Linked DNA regions of Caenorhabditis elegans. The protein of the gene in region 1 interacts with the protein of each later gene in a biochemical or structural test. Each region holds a gene or a part of one and is shown in the gene's direction. Other genes may lie near its edges. The genes, in order: rde-10 and rde-11.

What was found.
Region 2: the proteins of rde-10 (region 1) and rde-11 form a complex in vitro, tested with the Caenorhabditis elegans proteins (one study listed by BioGRID).

The regions. Positions count from the first base shown.
Region 1 is NC_003279.8:3,545,071-3,552,197, forward strand, and holds rde-10 (RNA interference defective protein 10), read left to right. Parts: upstream 1-2,000; 5' UTR 2,001-2,057; coding exon 2,058-2,095; intron 2,096-2,141; coding exon 2,142-2,279; intron 2,280-2,338; coding exon 2,339-2,414; intron 2,415-2,468; coding exon 2,469-2,543; intron 2,544-3,311; coding exon 3,312-3,795; intron 3,796-4,529; coding exon 4,530-4,953; intron 4,954-4,998; coding exon 4,999-5,109; intron 5,110-6,078; coding exon 6,079-6,278; intron 6,279-6,350; coding exon 6,351-6,531; intron 6,532-6,574; coding exon 6,575-6,709; intron 6,710-6,757; coding exon 6,758-6,779; 3' UTR 6,780-6,933; downstream 6,934-7,127. Other genes in the region: Poly(U)-binding-splicing factor rnp-6, read right to left, coding at 705-907, 1,294-1,452, 1,507-1,671, 1,729-1,824; Y47G6A.21 (DeHydrogenases, Short chain), read right to left, coding at 6,934-7,092. UniProt on the Caenorhabditis elegans protein: In complex with rde-11, required in the endogenous and exogenous siRNA pathway for biogenesis and accumulation of secondary small interfering RNA (siRNA) intermediates, such as 22G-siRNAs derived from ergo-1 targets.
Region 2 is NC_003282.8:13,100,800-13,107,926, forward strand, and holds rde-11 (RNA interference defective protein 11), read left to right. Parts: upstream 1-4,537; 5' UTR 4,538-4,540; coding exon 4,541-4,669; intron 4,670-4,722; coding exon 4,723-4,829; intron 4,830-4,880; coding exon 4,881-4,991; intron 4,992-5,043; coding exon 5,044-5,149; intron 5,150-5,204; coding exon 5,205-5,415; intron 5,416-5,474; coding exon 5,475-5,577; intron 5,578-5,625; coding exon 5,626-5,809; 3' UTR 5,810-6,128; downstream 6,129-7,127. Other genes in the region: fask-1 (RAP domain-containing protein), read left to right, coding at 1-13, 451-536, 583-829, 1,426-1,555, 1,607-2,290, 3,047-3,353, 3,408-3,494, 3,543-3,716; B0564.2 (Fe2OG dioxygenase domain-containing protein), read left to right, coding at 6,860-7,093. UniProt on the Caenorhabditis elegans protein: In complex with rde-10, required in the endogenous and exogenous siRNA pathway for biogenesis and accumulation of secondary small interfering RNA (siRNA) intermediates, such as 22G-siRNAs derived from ergo-1 targets.

The DNA.
Region 1 (7,127 bases):
TTACTTTTTAACAAGCATTTTGCATTTGTCTTGTTTATTTCTTCCATTTTCCGAGGAAAAAACATAGAAAATGAAGAAAATCAGTCAAATAACGAAAATAAATAAAATTAATAAATAAAAATAATGCAAGCACGCTCCACCGAACAAATCCAATTGGCGGAAATTCAGAAATAAATAGGTGAAAACTGTGATTTTTCCAATTTTCAAAAAATCATATAAAATCTAGAACATTTTTTTGAATTTTTTAATCATGATATTCGGTTATTGTGGGACCATAGGCGTGTTTTAAAGCGTGGTCCACCTTTAAATTGTGTTTTTTTTTCAAATTTTGAAATACTTTTCCGAAACAAAAATTATAAATAACTATTAAATTGTCGATTTTTAGGCAAATTTTGAAATTTCCGCCACTTTCGGGTAATCGAATTTTATTCACGGATAAGTGTCTGAAAAATCTGAAAAACTGACAAACCAAGTAAACCGATGTTTTTAGCCCGAAAACGCCAAAATATCGAAAATAACTTTGCGCGGGAATTCAAATTTAATTCGGACGTTTCTTTGATTTTTGAAAATTGAAAAAATAATAAAAAATTTAGAAACTTTTTTAACCAGTTATATTCGGTCTCTACTTTTTTCTGTCATTTAAAGCACCAAATTTTTTAAATGACTTTAAATAAAATAATTAAACTAGTAATTTCTCATTTTACCTGAAATATTTCTTCGCATCCTTCTGAACCATATCAATAATCGGCTGAGCCTGTGGCATATTTTGTGGCAATCTCATCTCCTGGAACATCATCGAATTAACTTTAAGATTACGTCCACCGAGCATCTGACCATTCATCGATTCTTGAGCAAGAAGTGCGGCTTCTGGGACTTCGTATTCAACAAATGCGAACGTTTTGTGGTGCTGAAAATGAAATATTTATTAATTTAAGACTAAAAATATGCTCAATTCGTAATAAAACTTCCGTTTAAAACATCAAATATTTGAAAAAAAAGTGTCACAGCTTTTGGAAATTAATTTTTATTCGATTATCATTTTTTTTATTGCATATTTTTATTTAAGTTGTTCATTTAAGTAAATTTAAAGCCAATAGATGACAAAAAATGACCAAAAATTGGATAGAAATTGAGATAAACTATCAAAATCTGCAATAAAAGATGAAAATCGAATGAAAAATAATTTCCAGCTGCTCTGACACGGAAACTTCTGGTAAAATAAAGGACCTTAGATAAAATTAGCTTAATTCTTTCGGAATTTTAAAATAAAATAAGACTTTTTTAAAAACTCACCCCAGTAGCTGGATCCCAGCTCATATTAATAGATTTAATGGGTCCAAATGGGTCAAAAGCCCTGCGAAGCATATCTTCGCGGATTTCAAATGAGATTGAGCCAACATAGATTCTGGACATAATCGATAAAGCTTGTGAGTACATTTGCTGCCGTTGTTGCTGAAATTTTATTGATTATTACGATAATTTCTACTTTTTAAAAATAAAACTAACATTCTCCTGTTGCTGTTTCTGCTGACGAAGAAGAATCTGCTTAATTGAAATGTCCATCGCATACTTTTTCGCCATCTGAATATCATCCTTCCGCTTTGAACTCAATTTCGATAAACCAAGGCCAATTTTTTGAGCGTCTTTCTTACCTCCAGGTCCTACGAACACCTGAAAATAAAATTTGTTTTAAAGTTTCATTAATTTGAACGAATCTAAAGTATTTACCTCTCCATCTTGCGGAAGAACTGGCATTGGCACTGACACTGCCGGCCGAAATGCCGCCACCGGCCTGTTTTCGATGTCTGCCGAGTTTTCTTCCATTTTAAAATGTCTGAAAATATGAAAAATGATTTAAAAAACACAAAAAACACAAATTTCGAAAAATAATAAGAAAAAAGTGTTGAAAATCCGAAAAAAACACGTTCAATATTCGAAAAGAAATAGTGGGCGGAGTCGATAATTGCAACCCTGGCACGGCATTTTTGCAAGTGGTGCGCACATTTTCAAGGACTTTTGCGGACTTTTGCCAGCGTCTAAAATTGATTTTTATGAATATGTCAAATCACAGATCTAATTTTAGAGATTATCAGAGGTTTGCCTTAAATATTGTCCCAATTAATTTTAAAAAATCTCTTCAGAGAGGGCATTCGAGCCAATAATGCCGGCACCTCCGGAGATGCGGTGCGCCAGAACGGAAATCCGATTTCAGTTGCAAAACATGTCGACGGCAAGAAAAGTGTCTACATGCTATTCCTACGCCAGATAGGACAGAAAAAGTAGGAAAATTTCTGAATATATTTTGCGAAAATGTGATTTTTGATATTTTGATGTTTAGATTTCTGACCGAGCAAGGCCACCGATACAATCAGAATGATCAGGCAGACAAGGATATTATGACAAGATATTATCACGTAAAAAAAATAAAGAAAAATTATTATTTTCAAGCCTAATATGTCGGATTTCAGGGAATGTGCCCTGATTTGAAGCAAAAATTCGAGCGAGAAGTTGCCGAGCACAACGGAAATCGGGGGCTTGTAATTGTAGGTTTTTATTGAAAATTTTACTACACCCTGTGGGGAAATTGCTTTAAAACACGCCTATGGTCCCACAATGACCGAATATCATGATAAAAAAATTCAAAAAAATGTTCTAGATTTTATATGATTTTTTGAAAATTGGAAAAATCACAGTTTTCACCTAATTATTTTTGAATTTCCGCCAATTGGATTTGTTCGGTGGAGCGTGCTTGCATTATTTTCATTAATTAATTTTATTTATTCTCGTTATTTCACTGATTTTCTTCATTTTCTATGTTTTTTCTTCGGAAAATGAAAGAAATAAACAAGAAAAATTAAGAATGATCACTAAAAATTAACTGAAACTTCCTAAATCTGTCAAATATTCTAATTTCAGGCTCTTCGTCGTCAGAACTCAGAATATCACAGTTTTACGCATTTTCAGTTAATTTTTAACAAACATTTCGCATTTTCTTGTTTATTTCTTTCATTTTCCGAAGAAAAAACATAGAAAATGAAGAAAATCAGTCAAATAACGAAAATAAATAAAATTAATAAAAAAAAATAATGCAAGCACGCTCCACCGAAAAAATCCAATTGGCGGAAATTCAAAAATAATTAGGTGAAAACTGTGATTTTTCCAATTTTCAAAAAATCATATAAAATCTAGAAAATTTTTTTGAATTTTTTAATCATGATATTCGGTTATTGTGGGACCATAGGCGTGTTTTAAAGCAATTTCCCCACTGAGCGTAGTCCACCTTTAAAGAAAAACTATGTTTTTTTTTTCAGAAAACAAAGCACCAGAGAGCACAGAGAAACCGTGAGATGCGCCACCGAAATCCAGATGAGTTCCAACAGCTCCGACGTGCACATTTGGAGACACTGAGCCAAACTCCAAGTGTTATAGCGTTGCCAAGAGATATAAATCACGTTCTTCACATCACCGAAGATCTCGACGCGTTTTGTCTTGCAAATCGCAAAAAGGCGAAACGAATAATGACTTCATACATTGCTCAGCGTTCTGATGATCCTGGAAATCCGTTGCTTTGCGAGGACTACACAATGCAGATTGTTTCAGTATTTCCGGTTGCCTACGCCTTCAAACCATCAATCAATAAGCTTTCATCGTATCCTGCAGAGATATCCGTTACAACATTCAATCTTAAGAATGGAATCATTCAGAATGAATCGAGATTCGTCAAATTCGATGCAGCTTGGTTTTATCCAGATGCAGATGACATTGGGCACGAGGAATTGTCTAGAAAAGCAATGGGTAGCAAAAAATTCGAAAAGTTGCAGAAGATTGTTTTAAAAATTGAAGAATGGTGCCAAAAACTTTGCAAAAATTGCCGATAATAAGCAAAAGTTGCCGAAAATTAAATGAAAATTGGCAAAACTTCACAAAAATTGCCGAAATTTGGCTAAAATTACCAGAATTTTGCAATAGTTGACGAAAGTTACTGAAAGTTGTCAAAAATTGCCGAATATTTTCAAAAAGTTCGCAAAAATTTATAAAAGTTGCTGAAAATTGTTTTAAAAATTGGAGAATGGGACAATGGTGCTAAAACTTTGCAAAAATAGCGAAAGTATTAATGAAAATTGGCGAAACTTACCGAATTTTGTCAAAACCTTTGCAGAAGTTGGCTAGAGTTTCCAGAAATTTTGGAAAGTTGTTTGAAACTCCTCAAAAAATGCCAAAATTTTGCAATAGTTGTCGAAAATTGGCGAAACTTTACAAAAATTGCCAAAATTTATAAATTTTGCTGAAAATTGAAGAGAAATTGGGGAATGTTGCCAAAACTTTGTAAAATTTCCCGAAAGTTGTCATAAATTGCCGAAAGTTGGCGAAAGTTTCTACAATTTTCGAAAAGTTGTGGAAAGTTGTTTGAAACTTCTCAAAAATTGTCAAAATTTTGCAATAGTGTCGAAAGTTGTCGAAACTTATCGAATGTTGCCGAAAAATTGCCAAAAAAATGCTATAAATGGTCAGTAGCTTAAAATTTTCAGCCGACGAACTGGGAATTTCGCCCAATGGACCCGCCGATGGCTGTGAACCATATGAAGTTTTCGAGTGGCTTCAACACCTTTTAAAACAGCATCCGAAATCTCCGATTCTATGCGATCGAGCTCAATTCAATTTTGTATATTATGGAATCAAGACTCTGGCCACTTACACTGGAATCAATGCCATCACATTCTTCCAAGAAGTCATCATTCCTAGTATTCTGAGCATTCAGGATTTTACAAGTGTAATACTCGAAAAAGCGCCGACGGATGTCCCCCGTGTCTGGAGAGATGTTGATATTTGTAATCAATTTCAATATCATTTTCTCATTCCCAGAACTGAATTGAACCTATTCTGCAGTTTTCATGAGAATAAACCATCGCCTACGAAATACAATTGCGTCAAGGCTCATAATGCAAGACTATTGTAACATTTTTTGCAGTGATTTTCAAGATAAAACACATTTTACAGAGACAATTTTTTCACTGTAATAAAGGGGAACCGGCTTCAAGGATTCGTGATTTCGCCGCCAGTTCATGAGATTTGCATTCAAGACGGGAGTGACACAAGTTTGCCTCAAACGTACGGAAAAACGAAAATTTTCGATTTTTCGATTATCCGAAAATACAAAAATGTAAAAAATAAGTTCAGAAAATTAACCATAAAAAAGTTTAAATTGATCAGAAAAAAACATAAAAATTTATTCTAAAAAGAAGAAAATACCAAAAATTATAAGCTAATTTTTGACAAATCGAAAAAACTAAAAATTTTCGATATCTCGATTTCAAAAAAAATCGAAAATTTTCGATTTTTCGATTATCCGGAAAATCGGAGAAAAAATCTGAAAATTAACCATAAAAGATGATTTTTTTGAATCTAATTTCGTCTAAATTGGTGAGAAAAAAACATACAAAAAATGTATTCTAAAAATAAGAAAAAAAACCATAATGACCAAAAGTCGGTTTTTTCTAAAATTTTCGTTTTTTTATTTTTCCGATTTTTCGATATTTTTGAGGGAAAATCGAAAAATTGGAAATCGAAAACAGAAATTTTTGATTTTTCGTTTTTTTTTTCAAAAATAGAAAAATCAAAATTTTTTTGATTTTCGATTTTTAAAAAAAAAATCATGAGAAAAAACATAAAAATTTATTCTAAAAAGAAGAAATGTTTTCGAAAAAGAAAATTTTCGATTTTAAATTTTTTCCGAAAAACCTTTTTTTTTTAAATCCAGAAAAATTAACCATAAATTATGATTTTTTAAAAATTTAATTTGGTCTAAATTGATGAGAAAAAACATAAAATTTTATTCTAAAAAGAAGAAAAAATACCAAAATGACCAGAAGTCGATTTTTCAAAAATCGAAAAAATTTATGTTTTTCCATTTTTCGATGTTTTTGAGGGAAAATCAAAAAATCGAACTACGAAATTTTTTCGATTTTTCGTTTTTTTTTTCAAAAATAGTAAAATTAAAATTCACAGAAAAAACAAAACATTCTCTGCAGTTCCCAGAAATTTCGAAAATTAAATGAGCGTCTATAGATATTTTTCCAGAATCTTGGCAAGAACAATATCCCGTAATGACGCCGAAGTCTACGCCGCCAGGCAGAGAGATACCGATGAACAATATGACGTCCATCAAGAAGGTCCATCTAATCATGATCAATACGAATTCGCATCTGAACCACTGGATTTCGAAGAAGATTCTGATGAGGAAAACTACAATGAACAGCTTGATGTTCCTTATTCTTACAGTAAGAATTTTTCTCGAAAATTCTGAATTTTGAAAGTTTGAAAATTAATTTTTTTTTTATTTTTAATTTCAGACGATCACTTCATCAGCTCATCATCTGTTCGTGAGCCAGAGCATCCCAGTGCAAGATCAAGAGATGTTGCTCCAAATGTTCAACAAGAATCTGTTGTGGTTCCGGCTCCAAGGCGATTGTCGCCACAGCGAGCTCCACGCCCGTCACAAAATAGTCCGAATGCTTATTCTGAACGCAAAAGGTTCGTCGTAAATTAAAGAAAATAAATTTTTTTTAATTTTCAGTTTTTCCGCGTTTCCATCCGAAGATCCATCTGAAGATTATGAAACCCCAATAATCAGTCATATCATGAATCGAAACGAAGCGGATCAATATTTCAATATTCTGGATTCGGTGAAACCGGGACAGAAATATAAGATGTAAGTGTATATAATAAAAAATTTTTAATAGTTTTTATATTATTTCAGAATCAAGTTCGACGACTTCTAAACGGAAACCCCTCACACATTCATTTCATGGTATTAAATATAAGCATTCTAAAATCCTAATTGTACTAATAGTATTATACATGATATACTCTGTCTGTCTGCTTGGTACAAATTTACTTCATTCTCAATTTTCAAAACAATAAATCATATATTCTTTATCTCGGATGCATAATTCCTCGACCACCATCAACCTTCAACAGTTGTCCAGTAGTGAATGAGCTCTTCTCAGAGGACAGGAATAGGATAGCTTCAGCTACTTCGGATGTAGTTCCAGGACGGCCGAGTGCGTGGGTCGTCTTGCTTTTCTCGAGGAACTGGAATTTCGTTGAAAGTATTATTACGCCAACAC
Region 2 (7,127 bases), on another chromosome or scaffold:
GCAGAAATTGATGGTAGGTGCAGATTTTTTTTGCTCTAAATGGCCAGAATTTTATTAAAATTGTCAAAAAAATTTCAAAAAATAGCTAATTTCCGCTAGAATCTCCAACTTGACCAACTTTAGAGCGGCCGGAAAATAATTTTAATTCGATTATTGTGCTACTTTGGTTTATTTTACGTTATTTCGTAAATTTAGGGTAATTTTAAGCAAATTTGGCTTTAAATGTACCAATTTTTACGAAAAAACATGTGATAAATGACCAAAATAAGACAAAAATTTAATAAAAGGGAAATTTGGCAAAATATTTGAAAAATTTTGCGAAATGTGAGATTTTAGCTAAAATCAAGTGTTTTTCGACATTTTTGAAGTTTCGCAATAAGCTTTTCGGGTTATTTTTAGTAAAAAAAAGTAGAATAATGCAAAAAACATCAAAAAATATTTGAATTCCAGATTTCCTCCATTCCATCGCCGCTGCTCCAACACAGAAGCTCGTGAAAAACAGAACTGTATTAGAAACTTCGACGGAATTTTTCAAGGTACTCAATAAGCTTAAGCTCCATTTAAATTGTTCAATTATTTAAGTGGCTCGAACAAAATCCCATAAAATCGATTGATCAATTCATCACAGCTGCACAAATGGCTATCACTGTGAAATCAACGGAACAAAATAAGGCGTTTTCGAAAATTGATGATATTGCGAAGAAAGTTCTGCCGAAATTCTATGAAAATTTTGGACCGAAGGAGACAGTGGATGCATTGCGATTTGTTTTGCAGCTGAATTCAAAGGGAAAAGTCTCGACGGATATTCAGAATTTGTTCCTTGAAAAAAGTATGATTTATCCAACAAAACTACTTATTTGAATATGATAATTCTACTTTTTTGATCTAAAATTGATTTTAAAAAATGTAGAAAAAGATTCGCTCCATCTGAAAATAATTTTTAGTTTTGTTGAAAATGAAAAATTGGAAATTTTGTTAGTTTTTTGATAATATAATGTTTAATTGACTTAAAAACACATTTTCATTTAAAAAAAATTCGGCAAAAATCGACGAAAATTAAGGAAACTCGTTGAAAACAGAAATCAGCATCTGATAAAGATTAAAATTCTCGTAAATCGACACATGGCTCGTCTCTGGCGCGAAAATTCGGCGTTTGAAAAATCTCATTTGGACGCAAGTGAAAGGAGAAAATTTGGAGTGATTCAAAAATATTTTTCTCAGATTTCGGTGCTCAACCTAAAGGTAGAGGTGAGGCCTAGTGGCCTTATTTAAATTTTTCAACAAAAAAAATTATTAATAATATTTTATCAGATGGAACGAATCCTTTTCATCAATTTTAGAAAAAAAAAAGTTGATTTTCAGTAGTATTGTGCGTTTTCCTAAACATTTTCCGAAAGATATTTCAAATAAAACGTAAAATTTCAGAAATAAGTCAATCCGATCTACAAACTGTTCCATTTGACACACTTGTGATGATCATTCGATATTCAAAATCTTCAATCGATCAAAATGTTATCGAATCTATTGCGACTTCATTGATTTCTAGAATCGAAAAGTAATTAAATAATTTAGATTTAAAAGCTCTATTTAATATCTAATTTTCCAGAGAACTGGCAAATCCTGCAGATCTCCTAGCAATTCTCGCCGGTGATGGATACGAAAAATCAAAATGGTTTCACAACGAAGCGTTCCTCAAAAAAGCCGAACGACTTGTAGCAGTAATGGGAATGGCTGAAAAATGTGCTCTTTTGAAGCATATGGCAGTGAATAAGCAAAGAAATCGACAGCTACTTGGAGCAATAATCAACGCGATTTCCAGTTCCAGTCAAGTTCTTACAGTATCACAAATTGTCAGTGTCACCGGCTCATGTTCTGCTCTCACCTATTATCCACCAAAAATTGCACGGAAAATCTCCAACGACCTCGAGAAAAATTCGAATGTTCTTGCTCAATGGGATGATGTGCTCAGCATTGCCGATTCATTTATTCGTATGAGAATGGGTGATCAAAAGTCATGGAATCTTCTTGTTCGATGGGCAATTGAAAATGTGAAGCAAGCACATCCGGCTCGATTGAGCAAATTTGTCTCCGGGCTCGCTAGAATTGGAGAACCATCTGGAAAACCGTTGGCAAAAGCGCTCAAACCATTTTTGGTGAAGGAAAAAGCTTCGACGCCCAACAATTGGCTGAATATCGTCTTTTCTCTTGCATATTTTCAAGAACTTGAAGCAGTTCATGCGGATTCGGTGCTCAATAAGAGTTTTGTAGATCAAATCATGAATTCAACAATGTAAGAAATTATTTGGAAATTGAAGAGGTGCAAACGCGCTCCAAATTAAAACACTCCGCAACTAAACGTTGGGTCTCGTTAGGTTTTCGGTTTTCCGATTTTTCCGAAAATTCAAAAATCAAAAATTTAGTTTTGCGACATTCCTAAACAAATTCGATTTTTTCGAAAATTGCTTAAAAATTTAGGATTTTTTTTTGAAGACAATGATTTTGATTTTTTTTCAAAATGAGCAAACAAATAAATTTTTATTATTAATTTTCGAAACATTTTCTAAAGATTTTTCGAAAACTCCGGAAAATCGATATGAATTTTATCTCAATTTCGACATTAAAATTATTAGAAAAAAAGTTTTTAAAAATTTTTTAAGTTAAAAGAAAAATATTTTTAAAAATCACAATATAAATTTAAAATGCTGGGAAACACGAAAAAAATGCCAATTTTTTTTTGCTTTTTCGGTTTTTGCTAGGGAAAACTAAAAATAGTCGATTTTGCAGAAACTCGAAAAAAATGCTGAAAATTTACCAAAAAATTCAAATTTTGTTTATGATGATGAAAAAACAACATATAATTTTTCCAAAAAAAGGCCAAAATGTGGTTTTTTTTCTCCAATTTTAGTTTTAAAAGTTGAAAAACTGACTTCCTTATTGTCAATACCTAACGAGACCCAAGGTTTAAGGGCGGAGTGTTTTCAAAAGGCATTTTTCTGCATCCCCATTTATAATATCAAAAATTGTCAATAATTTCCCAATTTTTCAGGGAAATTCACGATCGACTCCGAAAAGCGATGACTCTTCTAATGATCAGTTCAGCGGCTAAAGTTGATATGCAGGGAAAATACGAAGGACCAACAGTGAATAAGGAAACATTTGCTCGATTTGGAATCAATTTCGACGCGAAAACGATTCGGAACGCGAGGCAACTGAAATATTCGAGCAATCATTCAGAATGCGATCGATATTTTTTAAAGTCATTATTCAAACTTGCTCCACAAGATACTCATTGTCAACTTCCGAATGTTGAAGATTGTGGAGCTTTTGTCGATGCCTATGTTATGCCAGATCCGGTATATTATTTTCAATTAAAAAATATTTTTGAAAAAAAATGTTTTTTTTTTCAGAATTCCAACTTGCTAGTGAACACATCACAATGGGGCTCGAAAAAACCCAGGCCTCTATTTTTCTACGGATGGTTGCAAACTAAACAGGTAAGCATTTTCGAATCTCATAAAATCATATAAAATTCTAAATTTCAGAACACAGAAACGAGCGGCGAAATCAATACAGTTGGGCAAGAACAATTGGGACTTCGACTGATGCGTTCCGCTGGCTTCGATCCAGTAGTCGTCTTCAAAACGGAACTCGACTATTGCTCCACAGAAATTGATCAAGTGAATCTGCTACGGGATAAAATACATAAGAAGAATTAATTTTTTTGATAAAAGATTATATTTCTAGCGCCCCTAGTCTTTATTGTTTTGTTGTTATTCATTTTTATTCAATATTTTTTAGATTTGAGATTATAATAAAACAAATTTATAAAGGTTTCGATGAAATTTTAGAATTTTCTGTGAACTGTCTTTTGAACAGAATATGAATATTTTTGCGGGAATTTATTGTTTATTGATCAAATTTTATTTGTCTTTCCTGTTGGTTTTTTCTTCTATTTTTTCTTTTCTCTTGGGTGGCAATTTTCAGGTTTCAATTACAAATTTAAATAGTCTTATATTTAAGATCTTATCACGTGGTGTCAGAGTGTCTCATTTCGGTTTGATCTACATTGATCTACAAAAAATGCGGGAAAAGAGACGCAGAGTTCTCAACTTATTTTGGATGGTTAAGAACGTGCTGACGTCACTTTTTTTTCTGGCAAAAAATTCCCGCATTTTTTGTAGATCAAACCGTGATGGGACAGCCTGGCGTGATTATACGTGATTATATTTATACTTTTTTTTGTGACAATTTGATCTTGACCTCTGGAGGTCTCTACAAACGGTTTTGTCCACTTTCTAAAAGAAAAAACCGGGGAAAAACTAAAATTAAAAATTCACGCGCGTGACCCAATTTCGAGTGACATTCCGGCCCTGATCATTTCTTCTCTGATCATCTTTCTAAAATTCATTAAATTCATTAGTTTCTACATTTTAGTTCCTGAAAACTTGCTTCATTTCTTTTTCCAATCAACCAATAGGTCTCTTTTTTTTTAATTTTTCGATAATTTAAATTAATTTAATTACAGCAGAAATTTCAGAACATGAATGTTATCACTCCACCGTTTGCTGATGGCGTGGATCCAAAGCCCGTATGTATTGTCGCTGATGACATTTTCGAGACGATGACCGCCAGACGAAAAATCCATTTTTCAATTTACGTGATTTTTAAGGTAATTTTCGCCTTTTAATAGTTTCGATTTCGATATCAATTTCAAGAATTTAGAAAAACGTCGAGCTTGCTGAGCCATTTAAGCTCCTATACTACACAGAAAAGAAAAATGTTGCACATCTTGATGGATCCGTTGCACAGGATTTCGGACTCCCTATGTGGTGAGTTTTGGCGGAAGTGTGGAAGTGTTAACAATAGAATGTCTATTACAGGACAAAAGACGATGGACAGAGGGCGCCGGACCTTTCTCGACAAAAAAACGACTATATAAAACTGGATTTTTTCACAAATATCAATAATCCTGAAGATGGGTTTTCGTATTGGTAGGCGCCTGTTAATTTAAAAATGTCTAGTTTAAAATTCATTTTTCTTCAGCTGGACGGACTGTATCTCTACAAAAAACACGACGATGGTACCAAGACAACTAATGCCACCATCGAAACGATCAATGAAACTTTACCTGATTCTCCCGGTGGAAGAGGTGAGATCTAAGATCCCACAAATGCTTGATTAATAAAATTTGTATTTTTTTCCAGTCAAATATCATGGTGCTATCTGAGAAGGCATACGGATCACTCCAGCTCATGAAGAAACATCGGAAAATGGGCCAGCCACCTCAACGAGTCGGGTGCTACATTAACTTTAATTGCCAAACATCGAAAGTCATGTTCGGGTGTGGACACGTCTATTGTGAGCAATGCTTGAATTCTTGGAATGATAAACCCTGCTCCGTGTGCTTGAAACCGGGTTAGTAAAGAAGATTTTAGCAAATATATATATATATATATATTGCCTTGAAATTTCAGTAACTAGTGAACCAACTCAGCTCAAACTGCGGCAAGGTCCGTGTCCTTTCGATTTGTGCAGTCCAAACAGCAGTACTATGGGAATCGTTCTAATTCCATGCGGGTGAGAAAAAACTATAACGTTTTTAAAGAAATTAATATTGATATTCAGATGTCATGTGATGTGCCAAAATCTGGAGGATGCGTACGAACGAAACAAACACCACCTTGAACCACTTATAGAAAAAATCAAGTATTGTCCTTTCGAGCCCTGCAGGATCCGTGTCCGTAAACTCAAAAAGCCCTTCTGGCACCAACAAGACAAAGAGCACACTTTGGAAATGAACTCGGCCTAATTTTATAAATAAATCATGTACTGTAATTATTTTATTAATTAATACGACTTTTGGAATTTCAAAGAAGCTTTTTACCCTTTTTGTCAACACCAGACTACTTTTGTGATACTTTTTCATGTAAAATAACCACCCAAAAAAGTTTTTTCCCAACTCAAAAACCATCATTTTCCGATTTCAACCCACTGCTCCACGTGTCAAGTTTTGTCAATAATTGCCTTGTTTTAATAATTGTATTTTCCCCACAATTTCAAAATTGCTTTTTCTTCGCCACAATTCAATTGGTACTGATTTTTAATAAATGTTTCGGTTAGAAATTCATAATTGCTCGTATTTCACATCCAGTGTGTAGATTTTACCTCAGTTTTATATTTTATATGTTTTCAGAAACAAAATTGCCACAAATTTGACGCTCAAAATATCTCGTACCGAAAACTACAGTAATTCTTTAAATGACTACTGTAGCGCTGGTGTCGATTTACGGGATCTCGATTTTCGAAATAAATTGAAAATCATTTATTTATCGATAGAATATTAAAATTATGAGAAAAATGAGAAAATGATACGAAAAAAACTATTCGAAAAGAAATTCATTTCAAAAATCGAGCCGTCACAAAAAATCCAAAAAAATGGAATATCGTTGATCGAGCCCGTAAATCGGCACCCGCGCTACAGTAGTCATTTAAAGGGTTACTGTAGTTTTCGCTACGGGATATTTTGCGCGTCAAATATGTTGTGCAATACGCATTCTCAGAGTTTTATGTTCCCGTAATACATAAAGGCGCAATTTTTTATTGACATGGGTCTCACCACGAAAAATTGTTACTATTTGTAGAAACACTTTGGCTTTCGGTGCGCCCCCTTTTTATTTTTTGAAATACCATAAAATCTGGGGAAATTGGATAAAAACACAGAAATTTGAAAAATTCATTATAAAGTTCGCGGCGAGACCCATACAAACTAATCCGTGCGCCTTTAAATACAAGTTTCTGAAATCTGCTAAATCAGAATATTTTTAAATATATTTCAAAACCAAAAAAAATACGAGTTCAGATGTCCCGTGCTGAAAACTTCCCTGAAAACATCAAAAAGTTCATCGTCAAAAGCGCTCCAGCGACGATGATCTATATTCCGAATTGGATTGACGAGGAAGAGGAGAACCTCTACAAATCATGCATCGAGAACGCACCACAACCAAAATGGCGGGTTCTCGCAAATCGGCGGCTCCAAAATTACGGAGGAGTCGTGGGAAAAACGGCTCTCATTCCAACTGATGATTTTCCAGTGGTAATTTTATTTAAATAAATTTGACAAATGACCC